6 linked regions of the Coturnix japonica genome follow. The protein of the gene in region 1 binds, or shares a complex with, the protein of each later gene. Links are inferred from orthologs where the notes say so. Each region holds a gene or a part of one and is shown in the gene's direction. Other genes may lie near its edges. The genes, in order: POLR2L, POLR1B, RRN3, GTF2E2, TAF1B and GTF2H5.

What was found.
Region 2: the proteins of POLR2L (region 1) and POLR1B are in contact, whole or in part, in a cryo-EM structure (PDB 7OBA), measured with the Homo sapiens proteins. The link is inferred for Coturnix japonica from reciprocal best matches to the Homo sapiens genes POLR2L and POLR1B. Residues at the interface, in NP_066951.1 of Homo sapiens: Met1, Ile2, Pro4, Arg6, Cys7, Phe8, Thr9, Cys10, Gly11, Trp18, Tyr21, Leu22, Leu25, Gln26, Glu31, Gly32, Arg42, Tyr43, Cys44, Arg46, Arg47, Met48, Leu50, Ala51, His52, Val53, Asp54, Leu55, Glu57, Lys58; in NP_061887.2 of Homo sapiens: Leu16, Leu19, Thr20, Asp21, Pro22, Tyr24, Gly25, Pro27, Ile157, His160, Glu161, Glu162, Ala163, Phe698, Leu701, Thr702, Arg713, Gln715, Thr716, Pro717, Gln718, Ser719, Leu721, Asp733, Asn734, Pro736, Asn740, Ala741, Ile742, Asn760.
Region 3: POLR2L (region 1) and RRN3 share a complex: the UniProt entries of both Homo sapiens proteins name them as parts of the pol I pre-initiation complex. The link is inferred for Coturnix japonica from reciprocal best matches to the Homo sapiens genes POLR2L and RRN3.
Region 4: POLR2L (region 1) and GTF2E2 share a complex: the UniProt entries of both Homo sapiens proteins name them as parts of the TBP-based Pol II pre-initiation complex. The link is inferred for Coturnix japonica from reciprocal best matches to the Homo sapiens genes POLR2L and GTF2E2.
Region 5: POLR2L (region 1) and TAF1B share a complex: the UniProt entries of both Homo sapiens proteins name them as parts of the pol I pre-initiation complex. The link is inferred for Coturnix japonica from reciprocal best matches to the Homo sapiens genes POLR2L and TAF1B.
Region 6: POLR2L (region 1) and GTF2H5 share a complex: the UniProt entries of both Homo sapiens proteins name them as parts of the TBP-based Pol II pre-initiation complex. The link is inferred for Coturnix japonica from reciprocal best matches to the Homo sapiens genes POLR2L and GTF2H5.

The regions. Positions count from the first base shown.
Region 1 is NC_029520.1:8,950,924-8,954,696, reverse strand, and holds POLR2L (DNA-directed RNA polymerases I, II, and III subunit RPABC5), read left to right. Parts: upstream 1-1,799; 5' UTR 1,800-1,882; coding exon 1,883-1,977; intron 1,978-2,120; coding exon 2,121-2,229; 3' UTR 2,230-2,413; downstream 2,414-3,773. UniProt on the Homo sapiens protein: DNA-dependent RNA polymerase catalyzes the transcription of DNA into RNA using the four ribonucleoside triphosphates as substrates.
Region 2 is NC_029518.1:13,947,989-13,952,829, forward strand, and holds part of POLR1B (DNA-directed RNA polymerase I subunit RPA2), read left to right. Parts: intron 1-807; coding exon 808-1,031; intron 1,032-2,413; coding exon 2,414-2,585; intron 2,586-3,568; coding exon 3,569-3,740; intron 3,741-3,843; coding exon 3,844-4,125; intron 4,126-4,491; coding exon 4,492-4,625; intron 4,626-4,841. UniProt on the Homo sapiens protein: Catalytic core component of RNA polymerase I (Pol I), a DNA-dependent RNA polymerase which synthesizes ribosomal RNA precursors using the four ribonucleoside triphosphates as substrates.
Region 3 is NC_029529.1:44,035-49,592, reverse strand, and holds the start of RRN3 (RNA polymerase I-specific transcription initiation factor RRN3), read left to right. Parts: upstream 1-2,262; 5' UTR 2,263-2,320; coding exon 2,321-2,527; intron 2,528-2,916; coding exon 2,917-2,973; intron 2,974-4,080; coding exon 4,081-4,170; intron 4,171-4,255; coding exon 4,256-4,385; intron 4,386-4,852; coding exon 4,853-4,912; intron 4,913-5,558. UniProt on the Homo sapiens protein: Required for efficient transcription initiation by RNA polymerase I (Pol I). Required for the formation of the competent pre-initiation complex (PIC).
Region 4 is NC_029519.1:30,653,757-30,657,988, forward strand, and holds the end of GTF2E2 (transcription initiation factor IIE subunit beta), read left to right. Parts: intron 1-1,299; coding exon 1,300-1,415; intron 1,416-2,447; coding exon 2,448-2,564; 3' UTR 2,565-3,372; downstream 3,373-4,232. UniProt on the Homo sapiens protein: Recruits TFIIH to the initiation complex and stimulates the RNA polymerase II C-terminal domain kinase and DNA-dependent ATPase activities of TFIIH. Both TFIIH and TFIIE are required for promoter clearance by RNA polymerase.
Region 5 is NC_029518.1:88,001,344-88,006,497, forward strand, and holds the end of TAF1B (TATA box-binding protein-associated factor RNA polymerase I subunit B), read left to right. Parts: intron 1-1,273; coding exon 1,274-1,469; 3' UTR 1,470-3,906; downstream 3,907-5,154. UniProt on the Homo sapiens protein: Component of RNA polymerase I core factor complex that acts as a GTF2B/TFIIB-like factor and plays a key role in multiple steps during transcription initiation such as pre-initiation complex (PIC) assembly and postpolymerase recruitment events in polymerase I (Pol I) transcription.
Region 6 is NC_029518.1:46,899,941-46,905,299, forward strand, and holds the start of GTF2H5 (general transcription factor IIH subunit 5), read left to right. Parts: upstream 1-1,935; 5' UTR 1,936-2,035; exon of another isoform or gene 2,036-2,162; intron 2,163-2,300; 5' UTR 2,301-2,382; coding exon 2,383-2,417; intron 2,418-4,665; coding exon 4,666-4,846; 3' UTR 4,847-5,359. Other genes in the region: protein SERAC1, read right to left, coding at 721-811. UniProt on the Homo sapiens protein: Component of the general transcription and DNA repair factor IIH (TFIIH) core complex, which is involved in general and transcription-coupled nucleotide excision repair (NER) of damaged DNA and, when complexed to CAK, in RNA transcription by RNA polymerase II.

The DNA.
Region 1 (3,773 bases):
AGCTAAACAAGAGCACTTCCTCCGGGCAGCTGCACGAATCCAGCCTACATCAACAATAACCCCCCACCCCACCACCACCATCCTTTCTCCCTCCCATCAGCAAATGTCTGTCTCCAAATACAAACGCCTTGCACGTCACAGTTCAACAAGAAAATTGCTTTGGAGCCCTGGTGCTGAAAACACATCAAAGCATCGTCTCCAAATTCTCAACTTCCCTCCCCCAAAAGAAAAGAAAGCAAAGGAGAAAAAGAAAAGAGAGTTTGGCTCCCACTGGCCTGAAACAACAATAACGATAACAATCTGCAGGAGGTTTCTCCACCCTCCAAGCCAAGCCGTGCTGCTTGCACACAGCTGAGTGCAATCACTCCCCGGGGCTGCAAAAATCGCTGTCTTTTCATTAGGAAACGTTTGCAAAACCTCCTTCAAACAACCTCGCCGGTTAAAACGAAACTATTTGCTCCTCTACAGTTCAAGTTAGGTCTGCGCGGAGGGTCAGCAACCCAGCGGTCCAAAACACAGGCACGAAAGGCGTATTAACATAAGCTGTGCATTAAGACTTTATACGCCTGACAGTAATGGCTCTGCGCCGCGCGCCGTATCAACTCGCAGATGCTCCAGCAGCAAAATACAGTATTTTGGGTGCATCCCCGCTCTGCCCAAGGACAACCGTGAAGCAAGAGGGCACTAAGGACCGACAGCGCTCGGGGTGACGCTTTAACCCAGTCTGTCCCGAACAGCAACGTGCCGCCCTCAAGTTACAAGCATCGCATAGCGCAGCACTCCGCGCGACGCTCACACGGGAGGATCGCACGCGGCTTCACGACGCATCCCCCGCTGCAGCCCAACTTCCCCGGCTGGGGGCAGCCAGTAAAGCTGCAACGCGACGCTCGCGGTGCCACGGCCGCCTCCACCCTCCGGGGAGCGGGATAGCGCCTCAAGGACGGCTTATGCCCCGTTTGCTTTCGCTGCGCGCGGCTCGCCGACAGACCGAGGAACGCTACAGCGGGCAGCCCTGAACCCCCCCACATCACCCCCCACAGCCCCCAGACCCGGAGTTCAGCAACTCCCGACTGACCTGCCGCCGCCACGGGACCGCTAACCTCGCTTACCCCGCTGACCACGGCAGCGCTCCGCAGCCCGGCTTCCTCCAAATGAGCGGGCAACGCCGCGCAAATCGGCGCCGAGCGCAGCTCACGGAGCGCAGCCCCTGCCCGGCTCCTTCCCCTTCCAAAGGGGAGCGAGGACACGGAGCAAACCGCCCCAAATTGGGGACGCCAACACAGCCGCGAGACGGACCGCGCCTGGCGCTACCAGTGCGCGCACCGGGAAGGGAAAGAAAAGGGAGGAAAAGGGAGGGGAGTGCGACGTGCTGCCCCGTCCCACAGCGCTGCCGTGCCCCGCTGGTTGGCGCCGGGCTGCAGCCACCAGTTGCGCTTCCACCCCGCGCGGCTGCGGTACCTCGAGCAGGACGCGATGAAGAAGTGCCTTCTGCAGAAGTCCGGGTGTAAAGCAACAAGTGAGAGCGCGGAAGGAAGGAAGGAGGGAGGGAGGGAAGGGCACGGCGCCTCCTCGGCTCGGCTCAGCCCGCCCCGCCGGTGTCTCCGCTCTGCGCTCCGCCGGCCCCGGCTGCCACCACGCGCCGCGCACGCGAAACGCGATCAGCAGCCCGCCCCGCTCGCAAACACTATTGAGCCGCGCAAGGAGCCGTAGGGCGGCCGCTACCATCCGCCGTCCTGTGCGGGAACGGGGGAGCTCCAGCGCCGCTCTGCATCCTCACGGCTGAGCAAGAACGGCTCGCACCGCCCGTGTCCCCCCGGTGCAGTGGGAGCGGCCGTAGGGCTGCGCTCGGGCAGCTGCAGGAGGAAGCGGCGCTGTGCGAACCATGATCATCCCGGTGCGATGCTTCACGTGCGGCAAGATCGTGGGCAACAAGTGGGAGGCGTATCTCGGGCTCCTGCAGGCGGAGTACACCGAGGGGTGGGTGTCATATTAACAGCACACGCTAATACCTTGCTTTAAACTAAGCTCAGAGCAATCATTGCGTTGCTTAGGAGCACTTACGAGCGGTTCTGACTCGTTTTGTATTTATTTCTTTTAATCGTGTTGTTATTTGTTAATAGAGATGCCCTGGATGCCCTCGGATTGAAGCGCTACTGCTGCCGCAGGATGCTCCTGGCACACGTGGATCTGATTGAGAAGCTGTTGAATTACGCACCGCTGGAGAAATGAGAGTTGATTGACCCAGCCACCAGCTTCTCCCAAGGAAATAAATGAAGGCCGACATCCACTTCACAGCTACAGCTTACATATGTAGATGTTTCTCTTTAATTACATACAGGTTGTTATTGGTTTCTTTTTGTGAACTTTAGGATGCTTTTGCCCGTAAAAAATAAATGTGTTTTATGAAATACAATCATTTGTCTATGTAAAATGTTGAACTAGAGGAAGCCTCTGCCTGTGGCCTTCCTGGAGTTGCTGGGTAGAGTTCAGCATACACTTCCATCTCACTATTTCCTCACAGTGGTCATTTTGAGGTTAGAAATACAGTGTTTGAAGCTAGGGCAATCAAGGGGGGTTAGAAAGAGAGCAAAGTTCCAGGCTCCAGAAACAGCACAGAGGATGTTTGTTTGCTATGAATGAGGCATTACTCTTAGTAGGTTGCAGTGCTAGCGGAGCTCATTTTTTCACTGAAGTCAGCCTATAGTGTCTTGTTAAAAATTGGGGCAGACTGGCAGCTCCATCACAGAAAACAGTAAATCAGGTGGCGCAGTGCTCCTCACTTAGGTAAAATACATCTGAAGGCAATGGATGTGAGAATTAATGCATGTAACTGTGAACAGGATCAGAGTCTTGCCAAACACCTGCACTGCTCTGTTGCTGGTATGAGTGCAAGCTTCCCACTTGTCAGTCATTTCATTGGCTTCATATAGGATGTATGTGCAGCCTGGGACTGCCTGGCCAAAACAACCCACCTTTCCACTGCTTGCTGGATCAGACTTCTCTGCTCAAACCTCAAGAAGAGATTGTCTCAGAAAGAACAGTTAGAGGACAGCCAGCCTCTGGCTATAGCTACTACCCTACCAATCTCTACACTTGATCTAACTTTTCCATTTATTACAATGGGATAGTGGCTAAGTTTTCTCATATTCAGCAGTTCTGCAAAGACACTAAAACCACATACTTCAGCCTAATGCAAAGAGAATTAAGCAACTCTAGTATCCCCTTCAGTTTGCGGGATAGCTTTTGTTCTGTGTGACTGCCATATTACACAACAAAATTCACTTAATAACAACTCTTTCTGGCTGTCTTTAAAAAGGGACACTATGAAATATAAGATGACTGTTTCCAGCTAAAATCCTGTAGGACCTTTCCATGTTACAGCAGAGCATTATGTGGAGATGCATGTAAACTTGCACACAGGAAGCTCCAAATGCCAGGTACTGAGACAGCACAGCAGCCCAGACCGCTGCCTCCAACTGAGGTGGCCAGGCATCAGCACCAAAGGATCAGAGAGCCAACAGAGCTTTGTTTCTTACTCTGAAAGCAAAGCAGATACCAGCACAAGGTTAAGTTAATTGATAAGAAAAGCTGTGACTCTAAAACATTATAACGAAGAAGCAATTTGCAAAAACAAAGCAGGCTTCATCCAGAGTTTCTCAGGAACAAGAAAAGCCAGCTTGGTTGCTCATATTACTGTTTCTCAGACAGAGAAAGTGATGCTGTGGGCGCCAACAACGCCCACTCTGCTATCGCTGTATTAACCAGCTGTTACA
Region 2 (4,841 bases), on another chromosome or scaffold:
CCTGTGGCACCACAGCTTGTCTGGTCTCAGGGAATTTACGTGTTCTTTCAGCCTCCTGTGTTCAGGACTTAAAATTAGTCAGCAGAGATAGGTAATTACCCTGTGTTTTAATAAGCAAGGGCATTATACTGACTTTAGCTTACAGGATGTCATAAGCTAAGCAGGCTGCACTGTCTAAAGTTTGAATTCTTCCATGAATATCATGCCATGGGTTTGCATGCCCCCTTCATCAGCCGTTTAATAAAGAAATCTGTCTACGTGTCTTTTTCATGCCGTTCCCATTTTTTTTTTTTTCTGTGAGCTTCTTGAAGGCTTTTTAAATGTAGTGGAGAGACAGTTTGCTTACAGATGGGGGAGGTTTGTCAGCCAGTTACTGGTGAGCAGAATGGTCACTTAAACCCTGACATAAACAACTAGGAAACATTATAACACCAAGTGCTCAGAACACAGGATTTAAGCATGAGATGTAGAAAATGAATTGCTGAAGCTGAAGTGGATTGTAATAGGCTAAGCTGTCTTTTGACTTCTGTGGAGATAAGGAGTTAACTTGAGACAAAAGAAGCCTTTTAAGATAGAGGATGCAAGTTTGTTTGTTTGTTTTTCCAAGGGTTTTGTTAGACTGGAACCACTTGTGATCATCACCTCATTCATATCCACTGTGCTGCTCTTGAAGTACATTAATCCCACAGTATTTTTCCATTTCCAGAGGACCGAAAACCTAAATCATTGGGGTACCCAACCTCTGCTGTTTTATGGCCAGATACTGCCACGACTGTTCTTCTGATCTGATGTGCATCTGTCTTTCAGGCATTAGTTAATTTCACAGACTACCAGATTTTTGAAGAGCTGGTCAAAGACAAGAAAAACGACTCCTTTTATGTGAACTGTGTTACTGAGATGCTTAGAGCAGTAGCTGAAGCACATTGTTACACGCAACAAAACGTCCTCGATTACCTTGGAAAGAGCTTCAGAGTAAAACTCAACCTTCCCGAGTGGTACAGCAATGAGCAGGCTGCGGATTTCATTTTCAAGTACGTATGTACATGTTTAGGAGTGTGTGCTTGTGCTATTGCATTGAAATTCAAGCAACTTTAGGAATACTCTGCCATATTATTTCACACTCTCATTACGGTTTTTGTACATGCTAATAAAATAGCAGCGGGTGGCCAGTTCTTGGTGGAACTTCAGGATACTGTGATAATCTATTCTGTTCAAGTTGAAAGAAGGGGAAGTTGTGTGGACAGCTTTAGTTTCAATAGGTTGAACCATTAGGGTAATTTGTGGCGTTTTATCTGCTGTTTCACGCAGTCATTAGCAACTATTACGCGAATTACACTTAAATGATAGGAATTGGATGTTTTAAAGTCTCCCTTTTTCAATGGAATAAGTTAGGAAGAAATGGAAGAGAGGGGTTTGAGATTGCCAGCGTGACAAGCATTCAACTAACTTTCTTTTTCGGGTAATACAGATTTTAGTTCTTTGACCAAGTGTTTTAGTAAAGTGTTTTGAAAAGTATCATTTGAGATGCCCAAGTCCTTGAGTACCTGGAAATAAGGAGTAATCATCAGGTGTCTAAAAGCACTGAGGCAATTTTTCAGTGCCTCAGAGAAGCACTTAGAATTGTTGGAAGAACAGCTCTTTGTACTGAGAAACAGCGGATAATTTCAAGAAAGTCATACTGTAATTTTCTTCAGTCTAAATACTCTCGTGCTTTTTGGTGGTGTCTTATTGTCCCGTGGTATGTTCTGTACGCAATGTTTGTCAAAGCTGTCTGCGCTGTGGAGATAAGAGCAATTGTGGAAAGCATCAATTGGGGTGTACTTTGCATTGTAACTTCTACCTGGCCAGAACTTTCTTTGAATGTTTGTTTTTATGGTGAAGTTGTACAGACTTCAGAAGAGGGCGCTATGGAGCAGAGGTACAGAGTGACCAGATCCTGTGTGCTCATATTCTGGAAGGTTGTTGTGCTTACATCTTGGAAAGCAGGTTATTTCTGTTGTCTTGGAAGGCAGTTTAGCAGCTTTACTGCTTGCATTAAAATGTCATTCAGCACACGTTTCCACACAGGGATTTGATTGCAGTGTTCTGTGATCTGTTACTAGTCTCCAGCTTGGATTTTGGGGTGGAGTTGGGCACATGTATATGGTTATGTAGTGGTGTTTGGTGTCATACCTGCTGCAAAATAATGTACAAATCTTATCTCTTAAGTGGGCCTGTGTATGTGAACTGTATACTTGTAAGGATGTGTAGTAGTATATGATATACATTTTTTCCATGAGGCTCACCTTCATGTGATCAACTGGCTGTATCTTTCTAGCAACAGGGGGAAAAAGATTTTGATATTATTTAGCAAACATGAAGAACTGCTGGCGTGACGAGCTGGTGTTAATTGTCCTTCTTTCTCTCCCTCCAGCAAGTGTATCTGCATACATCTGACAGACAGAACTGAAAAATTCTACCTGCTTTGTATGATGACCAGGAAACTGTATGCTTTTGCCAAAGGGGAGTGCATGGAGGACAATCCAGACAGTCTAATGAATCAAGAAGTGCTTACTGCAGGACAGCTTTTCCTTATGTTCTTAAAGGTAAGGTCATAAGGCCTGTGTATGGAGGGGTCATCCAATCTAGGACCTGCAGTGGCCAAGGAGATGGGAGAAATACAGAGCCAAACTGAAGAGCAGGGAGCCTTGGTATACTATAAAGACTTGAATCTAATGCAGCACAGCACGAACCGCACTAAATAGGGGCCTGAGTAAAACATGGAGTGAAAAGCTTTGGGACCTTCAACAGAAATGAAAGCTCAGGCTTGGAGTCTGGCGAAGGAGGAACACCAGCTCGGAGGGTTTTGAAACAGCATATTGCTGTTGTGTCAGTTGATAGATTAGTAATAAAGATCAGCCTCTTTGTGGTGCTCCTGCTGTGTCACACAGCAGATGTGCAAGTAAATAACTGTCCCATCCTCTTTCTTTGAAAATCAGTGATTTATATTGTCATTTCTACCCCGTCTTTGAGTTCTTTTACAGATCAGGAAGTTAGGAGTATACTTCCAATTTACACTGTTAATTTATTACTGGTGGTGTAAAAGTGCAGCTTCCTAAACTATTCCAGTTCACTTTGGATTCAAGTTATTTCTGGCATTTCTTCATTGTAGAATGCCAAAAAGAAAGTAATGCTCAGAAGTGAAATTTGTCAACCCCAAGTAATAAAGCTTCCCTGAGTTACCAGATAACTTGTAATCTTTCTTTGCCATGTTAGCCAAAATCTTTAGCATCGCTTTGTTGAAACAATTCTAAAACTTGTCTACTACATGAGTGGTTTCAATGGCTGTAAAAAGAGAATAAAAAATGAATTATGTGAAGCATTGTAGCACTTTCCCAATCTGGTACCAGGAAGCAGAAGGGATTGCTGTCCTGTCTGGCCCTGTCAGATAAGCAGAGGAGTGAGCAACCTCTCCTGTAAATGCAAAGACTCTAAATAGACTGGCTTTCTGTTGCGTAGATAACTGAGCCACTCATTAAAGTGTCTGTGTTCCTGTATTTAATTCAAGTCTCACATTCTTAAACCACAGGAGAGGCTTGAGAACTGGTTGCAGTCTGTTAAATTCGTTTTGGAGAAGAAAACAGAAAAGGCCAACATCACCATCAATGCAGACAGCTTGATGAAGGCGTTCGGTCTGACCACAGATGTTACCAAGTCATTTGAGTATCTTCTTGCAACTGGTAACCTGCGATCTAAGACTGGTAAGTCTTAAGGTATAAGAAGCCCTTTTTTTTACCTAAACAGCATGAGAAACAACATAAAACTGAGCAACATCCTGATGTAAACCTCTGTTTTGTTCCTCAGGCCTTGGCATGCTGCAGGACAGCGGTCTGTGTGTGGTGGGGGACAAGCTGAATTTTGTTCGCTACCTTTCGCACTTCCGCTGCGTTCACAGAGGGTCAGTGTTTGCCCAGATGAGAACTACCACGGTGCGCAAACTGCTGCCGGAGTCCTGGGGGTTCCTGTGCCCTGTGGACACCCCAGATGGAGAGCCCTGCGGTCTGATGAACCACATGACAGCTGTGTGTGAAATAGTGACAGAGATGGTTCCTGTGACAGACCTTCCACCTATGTTATGTGCTCTAGGTACAGTTTACTTGCTCAGTTATCTAATGAAGCAGTCTTCATTTTTACCTTTCTGCCCTACAAACCCATATGTGGAAAATGTTCTAGTAACTTGAATTAAACTGCAGCTCCTCCAGTGATTAGCACAGTGATGGGAGTTTTGTTTCATCCAGAAGAGTGCTGGGGCTGGATGGGAAATGGCATTCTCACTTGTGCACATTTTATGTTTTCCATCCAGTCTCCTCTACCACTTTGCCCTGTCCAGATGTTCTGAATTTTTTCTGATGGCTCATAAAGCTGTTTTATGTGGATTGAGGCTTCCTGCAGAAATAACGTGCATTTGTCTGCTTTTTTGGCTGTTCCCTCCCCTGCCCCATCTTGTCACAGGTGTCGTCCCCATTGATGCGACCCCAAGCAAGCCGTACGCTGAGTGCTACCGCGTGGTGCTGGATGGTGCAGTGGTGGGCTGGGTCGAATGGGACCTGGCTCCTCAGGTTGCAGAAGCCCTCCGGCGATTCAAGGTTGTCTTCTTTAAAATGTGACTTACCTAAATGTGCTCCATATGCAGTGGCCAGAAATAAACCAAAAGACACCAGAGTTCTAAAGAAGCCTAACTTCTGTTTGCCTTTCAAGTCTGACCTGATAATTTATCTTATTCTGCATGTTAGTATTAGGCTTTTTGTTTTTTCTTGTATTTATTCTAAGTTTGGTCTCCTGGTTTATGATGTTGACACTGT
Region 3 (5,558 bases), on another chromosome or scaffold:
AGAATTTAGGAGTTAGAGCTGTATCCTCCTTTTAGAGATCTGCAATGTGACACCACTGTTATTACAGTGGTCTGATTTAAAAAAAACAAAGCCCTCCTCCCTAAAACCTATATACTATGGTTTCAATGTCATTTCCAAGACAATTTTTCATTTCTCTGAAAATGTTATAGAGAAACCAACATGTTTTCATGTTCTGAAAAGTTATTTTTCCTGACTTCCCTGTAGCTTCAATTGTTAAACTGAGGTGAGTAGAGTAGCAGCTATAAATTAACCTAAAACTTGTGTGCAGCCATTCGCATACTAGCTCTGACAGTTTTCTCTAATTTAGTGTTGCAATTATAGTTATCAAAGTAAATTGAGTACAGCTTTAAGTTTACCGCAAATTACAATGAATCTTCTACCCAGTATCAGATACTTAGTGACTGTGATGGATGGTTGTTAGAATGCCATTTGGCTGCTGACATGTCACTCAAATTATATGAGGTTCAAATGTTTACAATTATGAATAGTATGTACAATTTAATTTTAAATATAGGAGCTGGCACATCAAAAAATAAAGACTGTGTTCTTCGTGGAGGAGTACCATGGTGTTACTAATGATGTATCTAAACAAGGAGGTAAAAAGTGCTTGCTGTGGAGCAGAGCTGTTATAAGCTATGGTATGGGCTGGTGGGTTTTGTTTTATTTTGTTTTTTAATATATAAAATAGTTACTTGTCATGCAGCCTATTGTTTGCATTCTGCATAATGAAGCTTAATACTAAATAGGAGCTGGCAACTCAATTGTTAGTAGCTAATCATTAACAGGTGTTTAGTACTATCTTAGTTTCCTGGTGTCCTTGTCAGCTGCTCAATGCAGCACAAAGTCCATGCAAGGAGCATTTACGTTGTTGACTGCAAAGAATTTGAACACACGTAGGAGTGTGTGTGGTTGCATGAACACAGCTTTATGTCTGTAGCTTGATTCCTTTAGACCTAAAGGACAGTCTGCACCCTTCAAATACAACTATAGTATCATAGTCTCGTGCGGGTTGGAAGGGACCTTAGAGATCATCGAGTCCAACCCCCGGGATTCGAGCCTCTGTGTAGCAGAGCGGCACTTCTACCACTTGCGCCACAGGGGTGATTTGAACCCAGGGCCTCCAGTATTGCAAGGCAGCATTCCTACCACTTGCGCCACCGGGGCACACCATGGTCTCCTATAACCGGGTTTCAGCTTTGTGTTGCTTATACATGAGTCTTTTGTAGCTGGCTAAGCTTTAACGCTTGCTCAAAAGGATACTTCCTTGTGTGACTACCAAAGGACCACATATCTCTCTAATTTATAACCATATTGCAGGGTTAAGTACTTGCTGTTAGGCTCTTTACACCTGTGCTGTAAATGTGGCTTATTATGGGAACATCTTATACAGGGAGAAATGAAATGAAAGTTACTAATGAATTTTCTAACAATCTCTGATGGGACTAATGGGTTCTCCAGGGGGGAAATCGTTGTGGAGGAGCTACTTGTTACAGAGGCGGCCAACCCAGAGGATCAGCAGATGCTACAGCTGGAGAAGGGCTGAGATCTTTTTGTTGCTGTAGCTGGTCTGTGTGAGCCAGGGAACTGTGAAGTATATGGCTGAACTGATGAAGGTTGGGAGCACACTGAACATTACTGAAGGATTATATAGGAAAATGTGTTTTCATTTGTACTTTTCTAAGTTGTTGTGTGAAAGTTGTTGAACGTTTTCATGTTTTTAAATTCCTTCTTAATTATGGTTATGTCCTGAAATATATTCACTTGGAGTGCATTGAGGAACTGGACGGCATCTGTTCATGCAGTGCTCAGTGGTGGGGGAGGAGAAGCCATTACTGCACTGGGACAGGAATGTGGATGCGGTGCTTTGTTGGGAGCGTTTGGAGAACGACAGCAAAAATGAAGTTTCCATGAGGTTTAACTGTCTCTCGGTGCTGGCAGGTGCTTGCTTCCCAGGTTCACATGCTTTTCTGTTCAGACGGCACTCAGCCCTCCTTCAGCAGACTCCATCCCAAGGATCGTGAGGATTCAATTGCGTTTTGTTCGTTTTCTCAGTAAAATGGCTACTCCAGCGTGGCGCTGAGGTCAAATCTGGAGTTAAGATTTCCGAGGAAGCTCTACAGCGCAGCGCCCGGCAGGGGAGCGCGGATAGCGGATAGCGCCCGCCTCGGTCCTCCTGCGCTGCCACCGCCGGGGGCAGTTCCTGCCTTTCCAGCCTCGCCTCTCTATGGTGCGAGAGGAGGAGCGGTCCCCGCTTCCGGTGGGGCCTGGCGCTCTTTTCTGCCGGGTGTGGCGCGTGGTGATGGCTGTGCCGCTGCCTGACTGTGCTGCCGCCCGCGGGACGAGGTGTAGCGCAGTGCGGGGGGGTGCAGGGACTGAGGTGGCTCCGCTTTTCTTCATGCGCGGGGCCGTGACCATGCTCGCGGGGGACGAGTTCATCAGCTCCCCGCCCAAGAAGACCGTGCGGTTCGGCGGCACACTGACAGACATTCTGCTCAAGTACGAACGGGTGAGTGTGTGGCGCGGGACCGGGGCCCACGTGGGCGACGTGTCCTGGTGAGAGCTGGAGCTGAGCTGCCCTGCCCTGTCCGAGGCTCTGGGCTGGTGCCGGGTGGTTCTGCTGTGCGAGCGGAAACTCCTCACAAGCCCGGGCTTGTGTGGAGCGGATGGGACGCCAATGTCTGCAGGGGTTGCTCCGCCTCTCGGACGCGTTCTGCCGCCGCTGCCTCACGTGCTTTGCCCTCGCGTTCTGTGCGTTGTGATTAAACGCTTTTCAGTTGTTGAGATATGTCAGTGAAACGTGGTGTTTTTTGTTGTTGTTGTTTATTTCTTGATGTATGTTTTTTAGTTCCTTTCTAGAAGCGTAACAAGCATCATTTATTTTTCTTCCCCGTGAAGGGTGAAACCACTGACTTTGAGCTGCTAAAGCATCAGCTGTCAGATCCTGACATAAAGGTAAGGTGATGGCATGGGGACACTCAGCTGTCCAAATGTCACTGCACAAGTTGTTTTGGTGCTTAAAAGCAAATCCTTTGCTTTAAATGCCGGATAACGTATAACTGCTTTTTACTTCATAGTAACTGTCAGAAGTAATGAAAAGCAGCTACTGTCTGTTTATGAGCAGATCTTATGTGCAGAATCCTGATAAGTGTTGTCTCATGCTTACTGACTTTGCTTTAGAGTGAGAAACTGTTTTTTGGTGAGATGTTTCTTCCAGACACCATTTTACTAGGTCAGTAGTGCCTGTCTCTACAGATTCCTTAATGTAGGTAAAACCACAACTGCTGACTGTCAGAACCTTTATGTTGTGAATTACTGCCTTTTTCAGCTCTCACTAAGAACTTAGTTAATTGAGCATTAAGATTCTTATGTATCTAGTTGTTACAAGTAGTAATTTCAGGGCTGTTCCTTACAGCTATTGATAGCTACTGTGTTTTTCTATTTCTTTTTTCCTTTTTGTAGTGTTTTAGTTAAACCACACAGTTGTTAGAAGGGTGCTGCAGGAAGCATAATGTTATCTAGATTTTCTTTTCCTTCTAAATAGAGTATTCTGTAAAATACACGTTTTTTTAGCAGATCTTGTGGGGAGAGCAAGCAAAATTAGTGTAAAAATTTCTCCGTATAATTGGTTCTGCTTCCAGATATTTCTTACTTGAATACTTGAATTTTCCTCTGCTTAAACTAAGAGCAAAACCAAAAGGAAAGTAAGATTCTAAGTAAAACAGATACATTGTTTGTGAATGAGGTTTGCATACCTTGCTCAGCTTGTTACATAAACTTCCCATGCAGGCTGTTGGTCGGCCTGTGTGTGTGTATTCTTGCGTTAAAGAATTTTCATTGGTGAGGGTGCAAGTTTAGTTCAAGAAATTTCTTCTGTGCTTGTATGAAAATAATTTTAATTTACAGTCTTAATCTTTGACTTGTGATTCTGTGGGTTTTGCTACTCAAAAAAATTCTATTGTTTTTGGTCATATTTTTATTAAAATAGATTTGTGATTTTTTTATTTTATTTTTTTTAAAATACATATATTATTCCTGTATATTATTCCTGCTTATATTAAGGATGCCCAGATCATTAACTGGCTGCATGAATTTCGAACTTCTGTCACATATCTGACCAAGGACTTCGAGCAACTGGTCAGCGTTTTGCTGGTAAATACTGATTTATTATATGGAAAGGTTAAGAGTTTAGTACTCAAAACATCTGTTTGACACCTTGGTCTTTACTTACTTTCAGAAGCTGCCATGGTTGAGAAGAAGCCGAGAGGTAGTGGAAGAATATCTGGGTTTTCTTGGCAATCTGGTGTCAGCACAAACTGTCCATCTTAGGCCATGCTTGAGCATGATTGTATCCCAGTTTGTTCCTTGTAAGTTTTTTTTTTCCCTCTTAATATTCTTAATTATTTCAAAATAATTATTTTGTATATGAGTTGTGTATGCAGAATTATACATCACAATCTAATTGTATATTTTCTATTGATTACTTTAACTTTAATGACTGGATTGCAGTACAAACCATTTTATGTACCTAGACTTCAGAAGATCTATTCTAATGGGTAACTAAAACTCTAAAGGCTGTTTATTTAAGATGTTTGGGAGGGGGAAGAACTGTGTAATGTTACAACTGAAAAAAAGAGTCTCTAATGGTGATCGTATGAGATGTTCTTAAGAACCTCCTGGTTTTCTGATTGAAACAGTTATTTCAGAAAGTCTTGTGGATAATTTTGATGTTTTAGTCACACTGAAGACTGTTGTCAGTGCACTTCCATTTAGCATTGGAATTGTTGCCTCATAAATTTGCACAGTATTCCAATAATGATCTCATTTTTGGTAGCTCGAATAACCATCAGAGAGGATGATGTGGACATTTCAGATTCTGATGATGATGAAGAAAGTGAGTATGGAAGGAAATATGGCTTACGAATGCTTTTGTAATGCTTTTACTATGTTGGTTTATTTTTGCTAAATTACTTTGCAGGAGTTGATATAAAACTTTAGTAGCTGTACATCCTTAAATTACAAAGTCAGGAATTTTTTTATACTTGAATCAATGGTGTTATGAGTTAATCCTCATTACTTGCAAAATACTGGTATTTACTGGTGCAGTATTTTTAAGATTCAAGCTGAATGTTCAGGAGAGCATTCTTAGTCCTAGATAGTGTCAAAGCCAAAGGATAGGGAGGAGTTGTCTGTTTTCATTTTACTTACTTCAATAAAACTGGTCTGTTTGGGAAATTCTTGAGGCTTTTTGTTGTCTGCTTGTGGTAAACTCAAATACAATTGATATAAATAATGAAAACTATGTGTTTATTGATTAGACAGATTGAATTCTTACAGGATAATTAACTATCTGCATCTTTGTATCTTGAATGCTGTATTGAATTTCAGCTTGGGTTGACATACCTATTCCTCTGGTGTTTGCTTGTGGCACTGTTTGGATTCAAGGGGAAAAAAAAATCATAGAATCACAGAATGGTTTGGGTTGGGAGGGACCTTTAAGATCATCTCATTTCAACCTCCCTGCTGTAGGCAGGGACACC
Region 4 (4,232 bases), on another chromosome or scaffold:
CCAAAAGTGGTGCTCTGACGGGGCTTAGTTCTAAAAAGCACTGCGTTACCAAAAATGAACATTTGCTGCTCTTCCCTGGCAGAATTCCTTTCTTTTGTTTCCGGAGAAGCTCGAACAGCCCCTTTCTGTTGGCAATGGGAAGAAGGAGCTGAGACTTAAGGCATGCCCATTCTGAGAAAAACAAGATGCATTAGGAAGGGAACAGCCCAAGTGCAGGGTGGAATTCTGCTCTTTACAGCTCTATACAGGACCATTTAGTTGCAGTGTGCCCAGAGCTGGTGTGTTTGTGGCAGATTGTCACTGGAGTGTTTCATCGCCTGCTGCATAGGACAACTTCTTACGCATGCAGAAGTTGTGGTTGTTTTGACAACTGTATACAAAATTTATCTGGAAATAAAGGGGAAAATTTAGTCTTGCGTTGCTATGTGCGCCTTGTGTTTTATTTATAGATTGTTAGCCAAACCTGCTGACAGGATATATCTAACTGACTGCCTGGGGAATGAAGGGAGGTAGAACTGTACCAGCCGCTGCCGGGAGAAGGCATTCCAGAGGCTCTGTGAAACTTTACATGAGGCAGAAAGTGCTCAGGCAGATGGCAGCTGCTCTAATTAAGACTTACTGTCTCTGCTTTTTTTCCTGCTGCTGTGGTTTTTAAGGTATCTCTCTTCTTTTTAACATCAGAAGAATTCTAGTAATTTATTATCCATACGGCATGGTATGTATTAGATTACAGCGATAAACGAGCTTGCAACTGCTGAAGTTAAATGTCTTCAATCTTCAGTAAATTGGACTAAGAGATGGCAAGTCTCCCATGACAATGGCAGTGGAAGATGTGTAAATGAAGTTGCCATTTATGGTTAGTTATTACCTTTCACCAGGATCATTTGAACTGAGGCTTATAAAACACACTAACAGTCTGCTCTGCCACGGGGGTGCTAGGCAGAAGGATGAATGCTGCAGAAAATTACCATTAAACAGACACATTTTGTCTGTGGGTGCCCCTGAAGCTGGGATGCTGGGGTACGCCTAATGCAGATGTGAATCAGCTCATCTTTTTCCATGAAGCACTGGGAGCTTTTGTTGGTGGTGGGTTTTGGAAGTGCATCCAACTTTAAGAGTGGGTAAAGGCTGTGCTAATTGGGTGCCTGCTGGCAGCAAAAACTGCATTGCAGGCTGCTGTATCAGAGTACTTCAGTGTCAGAACTCAGATCTGTTTCTTCTTTCCTTTCGTGCAAGGGCTTTGCCTATGGTTTGGTTTGTTCACTGAGTTGTGAAACAAGGGTTTGTTTCGTGTTTCAGAGTTTCGGAAGCTGTGGAGGAGCATTCCCATGGATTCTATAGATGAGGACAAAGTTGAAGAGTACCTGAAACGACAGGGTATTTCTTCCATGCGAGAAGCTGGACCGAGGAGAATAGTAAGAAATACAAATTGCAGATCTTTCTGAAAAATTCCCCCCCTTGCTGACCCTCCTTGCTGATGTTAATTCCTGCGCCTATGCACAGCTGCTTTATGTAGCTCAAGGAAGTGCAACCAATTTTAAGAAGCTTCAAAAAAACAATGCTGAAGCCAGCAGCCAGTGTTTTTGTAACTCGTTTCAGCCAGCGTAATCCCAGCAACATCAAGAAGAGGGCAAATGCCAAAAATCCCTGAGAACTCCAAAGTAGAAGCTTCTCCTTAAAGCTGTACAGTACGTTAGGAGCAAAACAATAGCAGCTCTTTTGGGAGAAGATTTTCTCTTCCCTTTTTCTTTTCTGCTGAACAGCCTTGAAAACGCTGATAGGAATTGTGTAACCCGCCTCCCACCACTCTTGGGCTGTTCCCCAGACAGAGTGCAATGTGCTCATGCTTTACTGGTGGGCCAGAATGGCAACAAGATCTCCAAAGATGCTTTCTTCCTGGCTTAGAACAAGTTTGCTGTTTTTTCTTTTTACATTTACTGATACATGGTTTACCATCTCTTTTCTCTTCTGCTCCTGGCTTCAGACTGGCCCTTCACAAAGCCCTTCCACACAGGATCTGTTCTTGGTTTCTGCCATTGCTACAGTGGATGTTATAATATGTGCTGTAATGTGGGCACTTCTCTTGTGTTCCGCTTATTCTCTATGTGTCTTTGAGCACATCATTGTAGCTATGGGCTGTCTGCCTTCTTCGGTAGCTCTCTGGGAGTGTTCAGAAATCCCACTTTCAAACAAATGCCAGCTCTCCTACAGTGCACAAGATACCAGGAGGCTCTGCCGCATCCCCAGTGCCAATTCCCCGCCAAGATATGAATTCAGTGCAGTTGCTTCCTGCATAAAGACAGTTCGCCTCCTGCCTACTCCTTCTTTGCACACAGCTCCCCTTTGCAGTGAGGTTAATGCTGCAGGTAGCACAGTGTGTCCCACCTCAGGTCGGATGCTGCAGCTGGAAGGCAGATCTTTTAACTGCCATTTATTTCTTCCTTTAGGCTCCTGCTCAGAGGAAGAAACCCACTTCTCAGAAGAAACGTCGATTTAAGACTCACAATGACCATTTGGCTGGAGTCTTGAAAGATTACTCTGATGTCACTTCTGGCCAACAGTGACTGGCTGAATTTTGAAGCAAACAGACGTTTTTCCACAGGCTTTTTGCCACTCAGGCTCAGCGACTGCTTGCAGGAAGACTGACTCTGTACAGTAATGTGATGTGTTTCCCTCATCCCAGTGGCTGACAAGATGGAGCAGATCTGTTTAAAAGCAAGTTTGGACTACTAAATTTAGAGATTAATTTAATTAGCTAATTGGAAATGTGTCTTCAAATAAAAGGTTCGCTCAAATTGCCTCTTGGCATAGAGTGATAAATGGTGCTCAACATGAAATACAGGAGTTCCTGTTCACTGCTTAACTCTGCTTTTACATTGCTTAATGGGTGTTTACCTGGAATTACTTCAGAGGAGCTTTCGTAGAATTGAATACAGCATTGTTGTACCTATTTCAGGGAAACCTATTCCTAAAATCACTGCAGGCGAGTTTCTTTTACAGTCAAATATGCCCACAGTTTGTGTGTTCCTGCCTTGCTATGGAGTTGAACTTTACCAAACTGATGGTACCTGAGGTTCTGACTTGGAACAAACCCTCTCCAGAGCTCCAGGCAGGCTGCAGGGGGGCACTGCAGCTGCTGCTTCTCGATGCTCATCAGAAATTGCTCTCAGCTGTTTCTCCTCACTGCAGCAGATGCAGCTCTGTTGCACAGGCGATTTCTCCTCACTGTAGTGAATGTACCTGTGTTGCACAGTCCTACTGTTGGGTAGGGGAAATAAATTGACAGTGTAATACTGCAACTTTTTTCTTTTTTTTTCTTTTTTAAGTTAATAAACTTACAGTGCTTGTTTCCAGTGTTTCTTCCTTAAAGAACATGAGAGCGTGTACTTGTGTTTTCCTTTTCAAAGAGGTAAAGGAGTCTTTGGTGTGTTTTAATCTTCTCAATGACTTATTGTTCTGGGCTAACCCTGTCATCTCTCATCATTCTTGTTTGGAGGAGGGAGAAAACCACCTTAAATGAAAGCTCGCTGTAGATGCCTCATGTCGGTTGCAGTACAGACTGCCTAACATGGAGTGTAGCCAAATTATGTCTTCTTGATAACTTATTTTTATGTACTGAACCAAAGTCAGTCAATGCTGATATTGTTTTCACAGTGCTGCTGCAGAGGGGCTGTTCCTCAGCTCTTCTGGGGTTAGGATCAAAGATGAAACAGATGAGTGTGATACCTGCCAACAGTTTGCCGCTGCCTGCGCATGAGCTGCTGTCTTGCCTAATGTATCAGGATTGGAGCAGAGGCCGCTGGATCTGGGCACACCAACAGATGAAGAATAAGGCTTTGTTGGTGGAGTGCTGAACAGATTACGTCTGCTTGGGAAAGCGCAGGAGGAAAAATAAACTTCTGTAAGTGTAGCATTTATCCTTCTGTATAGTACACAAGCTTTTTAGAGTGTGCTCTTTTGTGAAACAGGCACTTTGAACATGGTACATGTCAGTCCTGTGTAAAGAGATGCTCAACACCAGTAGGAGGTTCCTTTTATATTTATATGTGTATATATAAAAAGCAGGCAGCATGCTGGTTTTGAAACCTGTTCTTTCCCTTTTCTTCCAGGTTAGCACAAGTGATTCATCTTGGAGCTTTTTACTTTTCCATTACAGCTCTGCTTTAAAGCACCCATGGCACACCTGCAAAACTGTTCTTTTCTGTCATCTTTGTTCAATGACAAAGATTCCC
Region 5 (5,154 bases), on another chromosome or scaffold:
GCAAGAAAAAGGTTGTCTTCTCTGGTCTGACTCTGGAAGTTTGAACCTTCTGCTCAGTCAGCCTTGCAACGTAGCAGTCAGAGGTGATGGTTTGTCCAAGTTCCAGGATCTCCCTTGTTATTTTGAGATAATGAAGTATTAGGTGTGAGAAGTGTTAAGAAAAACTGATCTTTCCCTTGTTGCGTCACAGATTAAAATGTATTGGAAATTTTGTAGCTCTTTAGTGCTGCTCATAGTATGAATAGCACAAAATGGGACAATGGTGCATTTGTGGTTGCATTTTGGGACTCTTGTGAAAAGTGTGACGCCAGTTAATCAGATGGGTGCTTTATAATGTTGATGTAATTACACATTGCCTAAAAATAGCCAATATAATTTCCCTGCCCTCCCAGTGAAAAATGAGCTCTGACAACAAGACTCCCTGAGAAGTTATAGTTGCTGAAACTCAGAGTTAAGGCTGGAGCATTACAACATGTTTTAATTCCTCTTGGCCAAAACATGCAGGTTTGGTTCAACCAACAGCACCTATAAATGAAGCTCAAACTTAACAGACACTTAGCGTGGGTTATGGAATCAGCTGGTTTGTTCTGACACCACTGAAATGAACAATTTAATTTGGTTTTTGTGAGCTGGTGGCTTTCAGGCAGAGGACAGACTGTATAAGACAGGCTTTGGTGTGAGAGAACTACATTCAGATTTCTAATCAGGAGGATTTAAGCAGTGACTTTGCACCCTGAAGTGTGACTCCCATGGCTTTTGTGGCACTCCAGAATAGTGTATCCGTTCCTCCAGTTTGAGGTAAAATGTAAATGGGTGTTGGGCCAGAGGGAGTGAGCAAATGACTCCGTAGTCTAGTAATTAGCACACTTGCCCATAAATAGGGACAGACAGGTTCCAGTCCTTGTTCTGGTGAATATTTAAGACCGCTGCTCTGAATCAGACAAGAGGGGAAATGGAATCTCTGCTTCTCCACATCCCAGGGCAACACCTTGTAAGCGAGAGGATGCACAGGGTTTAGGCAGGGAATAGCACCTGAATCTTCATATGAATGTAAAGGGTTTTTTAATTGAAGCAGCTGGATGTTGTGCTATTTTGAACTCCTCTGAGTTTTTTTCAGGACAGAACTGACACGGTAGATCAGAATTGTGGTTTAGACAATTGATAAAATGTTGGTGTTTTCTTCTGATTACAACTGAGTATATAAATGTTTGCAAAATACTAACTACATGCACTTGTAATTCAGGGCTTGCTTTCTTCCTTTCTTTCTTTTCAGGTTGTGTGGTTGTTTGGCTCACTACAGAGAAGAGGACTTTCCGAAGAGTTACCATTTTGTACTGGGACTTTTCTCCTTCCTTCTGAGGATACAGCCCTCCTCCATCCACGAAGAGGTGTGTGCGATAGAACACAAACTTTTTAATAAAGTACTCTCTAAAAAGCCAAAACACGGAAAGCGACGCCGAAGGAAGTAAAAAGACCTGAATATTATAGTATTGAAGCTGTGTGAATTGGTTTGATCCCAAACCGTGCTATTCAAACTGATACCGATGCTTTTGCCTACATAGAAATCTTCTGTTAAGGTTTTAGTACTGACATCTACTACTGCAGTTTAGCTGTAGTGTCATGTTATCCATAACTGAAGTTGCTGGTTTCCAGCTGTGAGCTACCCGGGAAACTGTTGACCAAGGTTTATTTCCTCACTTTGCAGCAGGGCCAACAGGAAGCTATGAAATTACCATTTTTTTTTCCACATAATTGTACATGCTTTGAATGTACTGGACGGCACATTGGCATCTAATTGCATTGCAAGGCTTTGCAATTAAAATGCTACTTATTTTTTTACTGACTTGTATGACTGCAACTTCGTTTCTAGAAAGTAATGTTTACTTTGTTTTGAAAGAGTGTGTTAACAAATAAAAGGAGCAGGTGGACAATGTTTTCTCTACAGTGAGTTGTTCAGCTTTTGTTTCTTAACTGTGTGTTGTGGCAGTTCTGGCACTGCTTTCAACATCTCCTTGCATCCCAAGTATCTCCTTGTCTCTTCTTAAGCCTAAGCCTCTCATTTGAGTGTAAACCTTTTGGGTCTGTGTTCCACTCCAGGCTCCACAGCTTTTGTAACTGCTTTTATACTTGGAGCCCTCCATCCTGTTTCTTACACAGCAGTGCTGGTCAGATCCTCCTGTCACTCTTCTTTCACTGCGGTCTCCTGAGTTGTACTTCATTTCTTATTGCTTCGTATCATAGCACTTTCACCACTCATGCCTCAGCCATTCTCCCAGTTTCTCATGCTCAAACTTATTTATGCACCATGTTTTTATTCTATCTCAGACAAGGAATAAATGAAGTTGGGTGCTACCACTACATGAAAGACACCATAACATATGCATATGTTGAACAGAGATGTTGAGTAGATATACAGATGAGTAATACTGCTTTCAGTTGAATGAAATAAAATTCAGTAACTCCATCTGTCACTCCCAAGTATAGGAGTTCCCAAATACACTTGATCGGTAACATAATCAGCAGCTGTTTCTGGGTGGTGTTATAGACAAAAGTGCTGTCTAGACATTTTAAATAGTTCTTACAGAACAGGGGTTTAGAGCGGCGGTCCCTTAATGTGACTCTGATGTTCAGATGGGAAAGTACTGTTTTAGCAAACTATGTTTTGCGATGGAAATTACAGAATGAGCTGTTACTTGTATTAAGTATTTCCTGAGCAGTATAGTTCAGTGTGTCTGACCACATCACCATGTTGTGCTGGATACCTCCGGACTTTCTGATGCCTTGAAGTGGTGATTGCATTAATGGAATGTACTGACTGAATTGGACGTTGTGTCTGGTGTCTGTATTGTAGAATTAGCTGTTTGCTGTTATGCTTGACCTCACCTGAGTGAACTGCTGAAGTCGGTCAATATGGAGAAAAACCATCTTTTGTTCTTGTTCTCTGTAAGTATTTCTATCAGTTAGAAACCTACAGAAGAGTTAATGCTTTCAACAGGGCCTGCTCCAACTACTGAACATATCCCATTTGTTTTACTGTAGTATTTGTTAAAGTTTAGAATTAGCTATCTAAAAGACACTTTATTATATGTAAAGGATCCATTTAATTCAGAAGTCTTTATTTGAAAGACTTAGACAATTATAGGTATATATTTCTTTTAAAACTACTGTAGTAGTAAAATCTCAGCTTCATAAATTAAAATACTGTACTCGTTACATTGTTACAAATGTAACAAAGCTCCCTTAGATGTTAGAATAAATTAAAGTTCTACTTTAATAAACTGGAATAAAGCTTGCAATTAAGCATCAAGAGCCATGTGCCTCCTGGACACATAGGTTAAGAGTCAGATTTAAAAGTTAAGGGTGTGCCTCTCAAATACTTAGTGTTAGTTCTACCCAGTTTAATCAATTGACACTTATCCTGGAGTAATGGTGTTTAAGAAGCTGATGGGCCATGGTTGTGCCTTATCTTCAGCAGAGTGTAGCCCAGCTCTCTTAGGACAACTGCTTTGAGTCCACTGAACGTAACCCTGGGGAGGAGGCGTTGGTTGAGCAGCTGCAGGCGGTTGGCTGCAGGGCAGGGTGGCTGCCACAGCCCGTTCCAGCCGCCTCTTCTTCCTACCTCAAAGTACTGCTTCTTTCTGTAGCTCTTTGCTGAGAGTTATGAGTTCTCCCTGAGCCTTCTGACATGTACATTTTTGTATTTCTCCCCTTGGAAATGCAGGTCTCCAAGTGAGGAGGGTTGGTTTGGTTTGGTTTTTTTAACGCTAAATGTCAAATGTTCTTATGTAGATTAAAGCTAAGTGGGTTGTTTTTTTAAGCTTAGATTAAATGCTATTTTCTATCATTCAGAGTACAAATGCAACCATACTTTAAGATTTTTCTTAAATAAAGCAACCTTCCTATTGATTCTGTGGAGAACTATCAGACGAGTCATTTTCTTTGGAAGCCAACACAGCTGGAATTTTACCTCACTAGTTTTTCACTGCCTCCATGTGTTTGCATTCTTGATTACCAACTTAATCTGTCACGTACTTTTTTCTTTCTCAAGTTCTTACCATTTTGCAGACATGAAGCAGAGATATTTGGCTTTCTCCTCTTTTGCTGAGGGCCCTGAGCTTGATTTAACAAGAGAGCGAGCATCAGCAAAGTCCCGTGCCTGCAGGCAACGCTAGTCTAATTTATTGTCAATACTGGGTTGTATGGGCTCTTGGTGTAATTACGTCTTTCCTAACCTATTTGTAGCACGTCCCTTGAAACAGCTGTGTTTGGAAGATCTGGCAAAGCTTCATGCAGTGTTGCAGGCAACACAGTGAGTAACTCACTTCCTTGTAACTTCCTGGGAAGCTCAAAAGTTCCTTCCCCTGAATGCTTAATGCCAAGTTTTCTTCCTGGATGGATAAATAAGACTTTTGCTGAAATGCTATTTTAGGCTGTTTACGGGGTGTTGTCAAAAGGGTGCTTTTGCAGGGCCAGAAGTAGAAGGCCCTGGACCCTCCTGCATTTTGGGAAAGGTAAAGTCTTAGAAACGTGGAGTCCTGGATAGATGCCTGCTCCATGGCTAACCTGTCCCTTTCCTGTGTCAGGCTGGGATGTTTTGTGCTGATCAGAGGTATGGGAGAGCCAGGATATAACTTTCTTTGAGGAATCTCACATTTTGGTCCAAAAGGAAATGGGCTTCCTGGTACATGTGGTTGTATATTAACACGTGGATTGGCCAAAGCAGCACATCTCAGTGCTTTGTCTTTGCACTGAGAGCAGAATGCTTACTTTTACCATCTCCTCCGAGGTTATTGGTCTCATCGCTGCAAAGCTGTTTTGCTCCTGGCGTGGTTATGTGCGGGAGGGCACGAAGGGGATGCCAAGGTGTGGGAACAGGCCTAGATGAAAGAGCTTTCCTCAGCACTGCGTGTGTTAAACAAGAGACTGAGTAAGGTTTGGCAGAACGCGGGATGATGAGCGCTCATGTCCTCACAAGAGGTTACAGCTGTGCTTGTACAACTGCTACTGGCGGTACTTTGAGAGCCAGAGCGCTCCTCCCCGCTGCCCGGCAGCTGCAGCCTGCCTCTGGCAGCACCTCGGGTGGTTTGGAAAGAAAATACAAGCCAGTTCTCCTGATAATATCACATGACTGCTCTGTACTGGGAAAGCATTCCT
Region 6 (5,359 bases), on another chromosome or scaffold:
GCTATGAGTAGCAGCAAACCCAATGGAATGTATCTCACCTATCATGAATAATTGGTTTTCTTCAGCATGAAGGAGGTTTGCCCTAGACCCACTGCCATCAGCTTCTGACTTTAAGAATTGTGGCATGCAGACAAGAAGCAGTTACATGCCAAAGAAATAACTGGCAAAGAAGAAACAAACAAAAAAAATGCAGTGATTCCCATAGAGCAGAAATGGTAAGAAATGTCCTGTCTTTTAGTGCTGGAAAATACACCTTAAAACAAAAATTCTTACAGTTCTATACACAAGGCATTAAAGAAAGCAGAAACTAAGCAGGGATGATCATAGAACTTAAAGAAGAGGAAAAAAAATTCAGTACAGAAGGAGAGAGAAACAAGGTTTGTTCGATTGCTGCTCTGTTACTAACTCTTTATGGATGCAATGCTTTCACTGTGCTAATCATTAAAAAACGACCAAAGATGAAACAGAAGTAATTTAAAATAATTTAATGAGGTTGTATTTTGGTGGGACTTCCATCATCTACATAATCTAGTGTTACTACTGCAATGCAAAGCAAGCCAGAAGCAGACATCCGCTTCAGGAAAATAAAAGCTTTGATCACAAGTTATGTGGAGATTTATGTCTCTTCTTGTCAACTTCATCATGCACAGTGTTACACCCACACAGACCTTTTCTTCTTTTAATAACACCTTTGATTGATACTTACAGAACTGTACTTACTTATATTATTCCAAGATGGGTGGTGTTTGGTGGCTGGGCCAGAAGTTCCTATTTGTCTACAGCAAAATATGCAGTAAGCAGCCACTGACATTCTGTATATTCAGAAAAAGAAAAAAATAAATAAATTGATTTGGCAATTACAACAGAAAACTTGTAGCCATGTTTCCCTTTTTACAGGAAAGGTTGTAAAGCATATTTATGTCATTTTGTGCGTTATAAAGCACTCTAAGTAAAAATTAAAAAGCCTATAAACTCCTGAATTTAGTAGTTTGCATTTTGGTTACAGCAAAAGTTTACAGAAAATCTTCATGCAATTACATATTTGTGCTAATACTGGTAAGTATCCATCTCTGACTACCTGCTCTGCTTTGAGGCAGAGGCATTTTTCTGTGATTCTTTACAGTGATTCTGTGATTCTTTACAGTGAGGGTGACGGAGCACTGGAACAGGCTGCCCAGGGAGGTGGTGGAGTCTCCTTCTCTGGAGATATTCAAGACCCACCTGAACGCCTTCCTGTGTGACATGGTGTAGGGAGCCTGCTTTGGCAGGGGGGTTGGACTCGATGATCTCTAGAGGTCCCTTCCAACCCCTACAATTCTGTGATTCTGTGTGAGGCCTTTTCCAATGTCTTAGTAATCCTCACTTAAACGCATCATGTTCACATGAAGACAGTGCTGAGTACAGCATATGACTTAGTAATTAGCTGTTCATAATTAATTTTATCTTAACACCCAAGTCTTGTATTTTGACTTAGCAGGCTCTAACAACTCATATACATTGTAGGCAAGTCAGATTTGGAAACGTTTGTCTTTTCTTGCTGACATACCCTGTAACATCACAGTTAATAAGGGATGTATTTTAGCATCTACAGATTGAGGTTCAATGAATGTACAGTTGTAGTGTTAAGCAATGAGGCATTTCAGGCCATGTGAAAGCACCGATTACTGTATGCACCAACTTTCTGCCCTGTCTCCTTTCAGCACTGCACTTATCCACTGACTTCATTTATTACATTTCTGATAAGCACGCTCTCCCTGCGGTCGCCTCCGCACAACTGGGGCAATGCCAGCGGCCAGCCCCACGCCAGGAGGGGCTTCAAGGCTGAGGTTTGACAAACACAATCATCGGACCACGGACAGACCCCATCCCTGGCCCCTCCTACTGCCCCGCCGCCATCCCCCTCTCTCCACAGCGCTACCCGTACCTTCCGCTTCCTATCTCCCTTCGCAGCCGGCACCGTCGCTCACGCACTCAACGTCATCACGCCGCACAGTGTCAGGAGGGCAATAGGAGGAGCGAGGGCTGCACTTGCGTAGTACGTGTATGTGGGGGCAGTGGTTGGGCTTGCTGGGCCGGAGCTACTCGTTCGCCGTCCTCGGTTTAACCTAGGGACGGGTTGGAGCCTGTCTGCCTTCGCCCCGGCCGCCTTTCGCAAGGCCACGGTTCGCACACGGCAACGGGAGGCTGGGCTGCTGTCGGAGGAGTGGGTGGGGGGATGGGGCATAGCCGCTCTGGGTGCTGGCGGGGCGAGGGGGGTCCTGGGTCGCTGAGTTCAACTAAAGCGTTTCTTTGTCTTACAGGTTTCATCTGCTGTTATCTGTAACCTCAAACAGGAGTCTTTGCTGCCACCCGCACCTTGCAGCGTTTGTGAGAGCTGCGAGGATGGTGAATGTTCTGAAGGGCGTCCTGATTGAATGGTTAGTGACAGCATCAGCATCTACTCAACTGTTTCTTTAGGACTGGAAATACTTTAGGTGCTTTTAAGAGTCTAGACCCAAAAATGTATTTGCTGTAAACTTCAGCCTGGAGAAGAGAAGGCTGCGGGGTGACTTTATTGCAGCCTTTCAATAACTGAAGGGAACCTACACCCAGGAGGGGAGTAAACTCTTCGAAAGGGCTGACAATAGCAGGACACGGGGCAATAGATCCAAGTTGAAGGAGGAAAGATTTAGGTTGGATGTTAGGGGGAAGTTCTTCACTAGGAGAGTGGTTACGCCCTAGAACAGGCTGCCCAGGGAGGTTGTGGATGCCCCGTCCTTGGAGGTGTTCAAGACCAGGTTGGACGGGGCCCTGGGCAACCTGATCTAGTAAATGTGTATGTTTGGTGGCCCTGCCAGGCAGGGGGGTTGGAACTACATGATCCTTGAGGTCCCTTCCAACCCGGGTCATTCTGTGATTCTGTGACACTGAGCAAACAGACAGATGAAAGGCATGGTTTTTAAGGGAAGAAGGAGAGAGACAGTTGTGGGTAATCTTAATTCCTGACTCATATTTTCAGATATGTTGTTTTCTGCTTAGACTTAACCATCATGTATTCATCTTGTTTGTTATATTGTAAATAATGTTAATTAGTTTTCATCCTGGGTGATGTGTTCTGATTCTAAAGGGAAATTTGTCCATGCTTCGTCTTTTGTTTTCTTTTTTTATCAATTCCAGTTCGCACACTCAAGGCTGGCTACTCTAAAATGAATATGCTCATAATTTCAGACAGTAAGCTGTTCATATCCGTGCAGTCCATTTGTTTCTATACAGTCTGAAGTCCCTAGACTAAGGTTCTGATAAGAATTACCTCCAGGTTAAAGAAAGTGTCACTCAAGGTTTGTGGAGTCATTATATATCATTACATTATGTACAGGATTTCTGCTGTATGTTTAAATTGTAAACATATTAACAGACTGTAACTGCATGAGTGCAGAACATCCTTCATGGTGCATACAGCTGTCTGCCTACTGTGGTTTACTTCTGAGCTGACTGGACATTAGCCAGCTCACATCTGAATGCCTCATAGTTTGGTATGAGCAGCTTGGAGCATGAATTCCACTATCACAAAAAGTTTCTCTGCTCCAATTTGGCTGCGTGCTACTATGCTGATAAACCTGAACGCAAGAAATGGCCTTCCTGCATTTTCTCAAGACACCCAAAGCAGAGTTGTTGACTAGCAAAACAAGAAATTCTAATATCTCAAGCAGACAGTACAGCCTTGTAGTTTTTTTGTAATTTATTTTACTTGCTCTGGAAGATTTGTGTGTTCCTGTACAATATTGTGATCATTTCCCATTTAGTATTAGCTTGAAACTTTATTATCCTCCCTGGAAGGAAATAGTTTGCCTGACAAGAAGTCTGTAGCATCTGTTATGCCATCAGAGTTTGAACAGCCCCTTGGGTAACTCACTTTTATGTTGGCTTTTCTAGCTGCTGGTTGCTTTCTTGTTTCCTTCTTGCCTTTGCATAATGGTAGCTGATGAGTCCATCCTGAGAGCAGATTACAAACCTGTCCCCTTGTTTACTTTTCAGATACCAATTTTTCACAACTCAGCTTTTCCAGGGCATCTTAGGTAAAAAGTCAGCAAGAAGTTTGGAAAAAATAAATACTTCTGAATGTGTTAAACATTAAAGTAAAACATTAAAATAAAACTATGAAATGCTGATAATATACAGATTTCTTCCTTCCCTCTGTATTATTCCAGTATATAGCTAAACTGTTCTGAGGACAAAATCTCAAGGATTATAATCTTCAAATGCTGAATAAGATCGGTGTTTCTGCTGTAACGTACATCTACTGGCACTGAGTGCACTCCTGTATGTTGATTATGTGAAAATATGTGTGTATTGCCTGACATATGCCTGGGCACACCAGCTTATGCTGTCTGGTACTCATAGTGTGTTGGTAAGGTACATCTGAAAGAAACAAGCAAAAATAAACCTCTGTGCACCCATAAAAAAGAGTGTGTGGAAGAAGACTGAGGACCACCCACTTTTGGTATCATTTTCATTGCTTCTTTGTGTAAACCTTGTCTTTCTTCTAACATTCTTTTGATTGCGAGCAGCTCTTGAAGTTGGTACAATTTTCCTAAGAACTTTGAGAATGTCTTAAAAGGATGCTCTTAATTTTTAGCTGTATCTTATTACAATGAGGTGGAATCTGATGTGTATTTGTCTCTGCAGTGACCCAGCAATGAAGCAGTTTCTGCTCTACTTGGATGAGTCAAATGCTTTGGGAAAGAAGTTCATCATACAAGACCTGGATGAAACTCATGTCTTTGTATTAGCAGAGCTGGTTAACTTCCTTCAGGAGAGAGTGGGCGAGTTAATGGACCAAAACTCTTTTCCTATTACTCAGAAGTAAAAAGATGAGAAATGAGATTGCTGCCAATTCTGAAAAAGCAAATTTCAGTAGTTTGGGTTGTTACTGTTTTAATAGACTGTGGTTAGTAAGTTCTGCATTAAAGTGGCTATTTCAGAAAGTGAGTAATTTTCATAGCCAAAATACTCTTGAACTGAATTTTATTTCTCACTTTGAAATATTATAGTGTCTTTATTAAAATCCATAAAATGATACACTTAAGAACATGCAGAGGGGTCTTTTTGATGCGTGATTTCTGGTTTTCCTTTAGAGTTATCTTGTGAAATGGTATGACCCAGAAATGAGTGATGTTTCTGTATTGGAATCCCTTATGAACCTTTCTGATGTGTTATATTCCTGTGGAATTGATTAAATTTGCTTATAGAGTGACTGATTGAATGTAAAGCAAGTCTGTGCTTGATGGAGCATCCCCATACATTGGAGGCATGGTCAGATGAAATCAAATACTTCTTTAACTTTATGAGTTTTGGATACCAAAATAATAGTTTGGCTTTA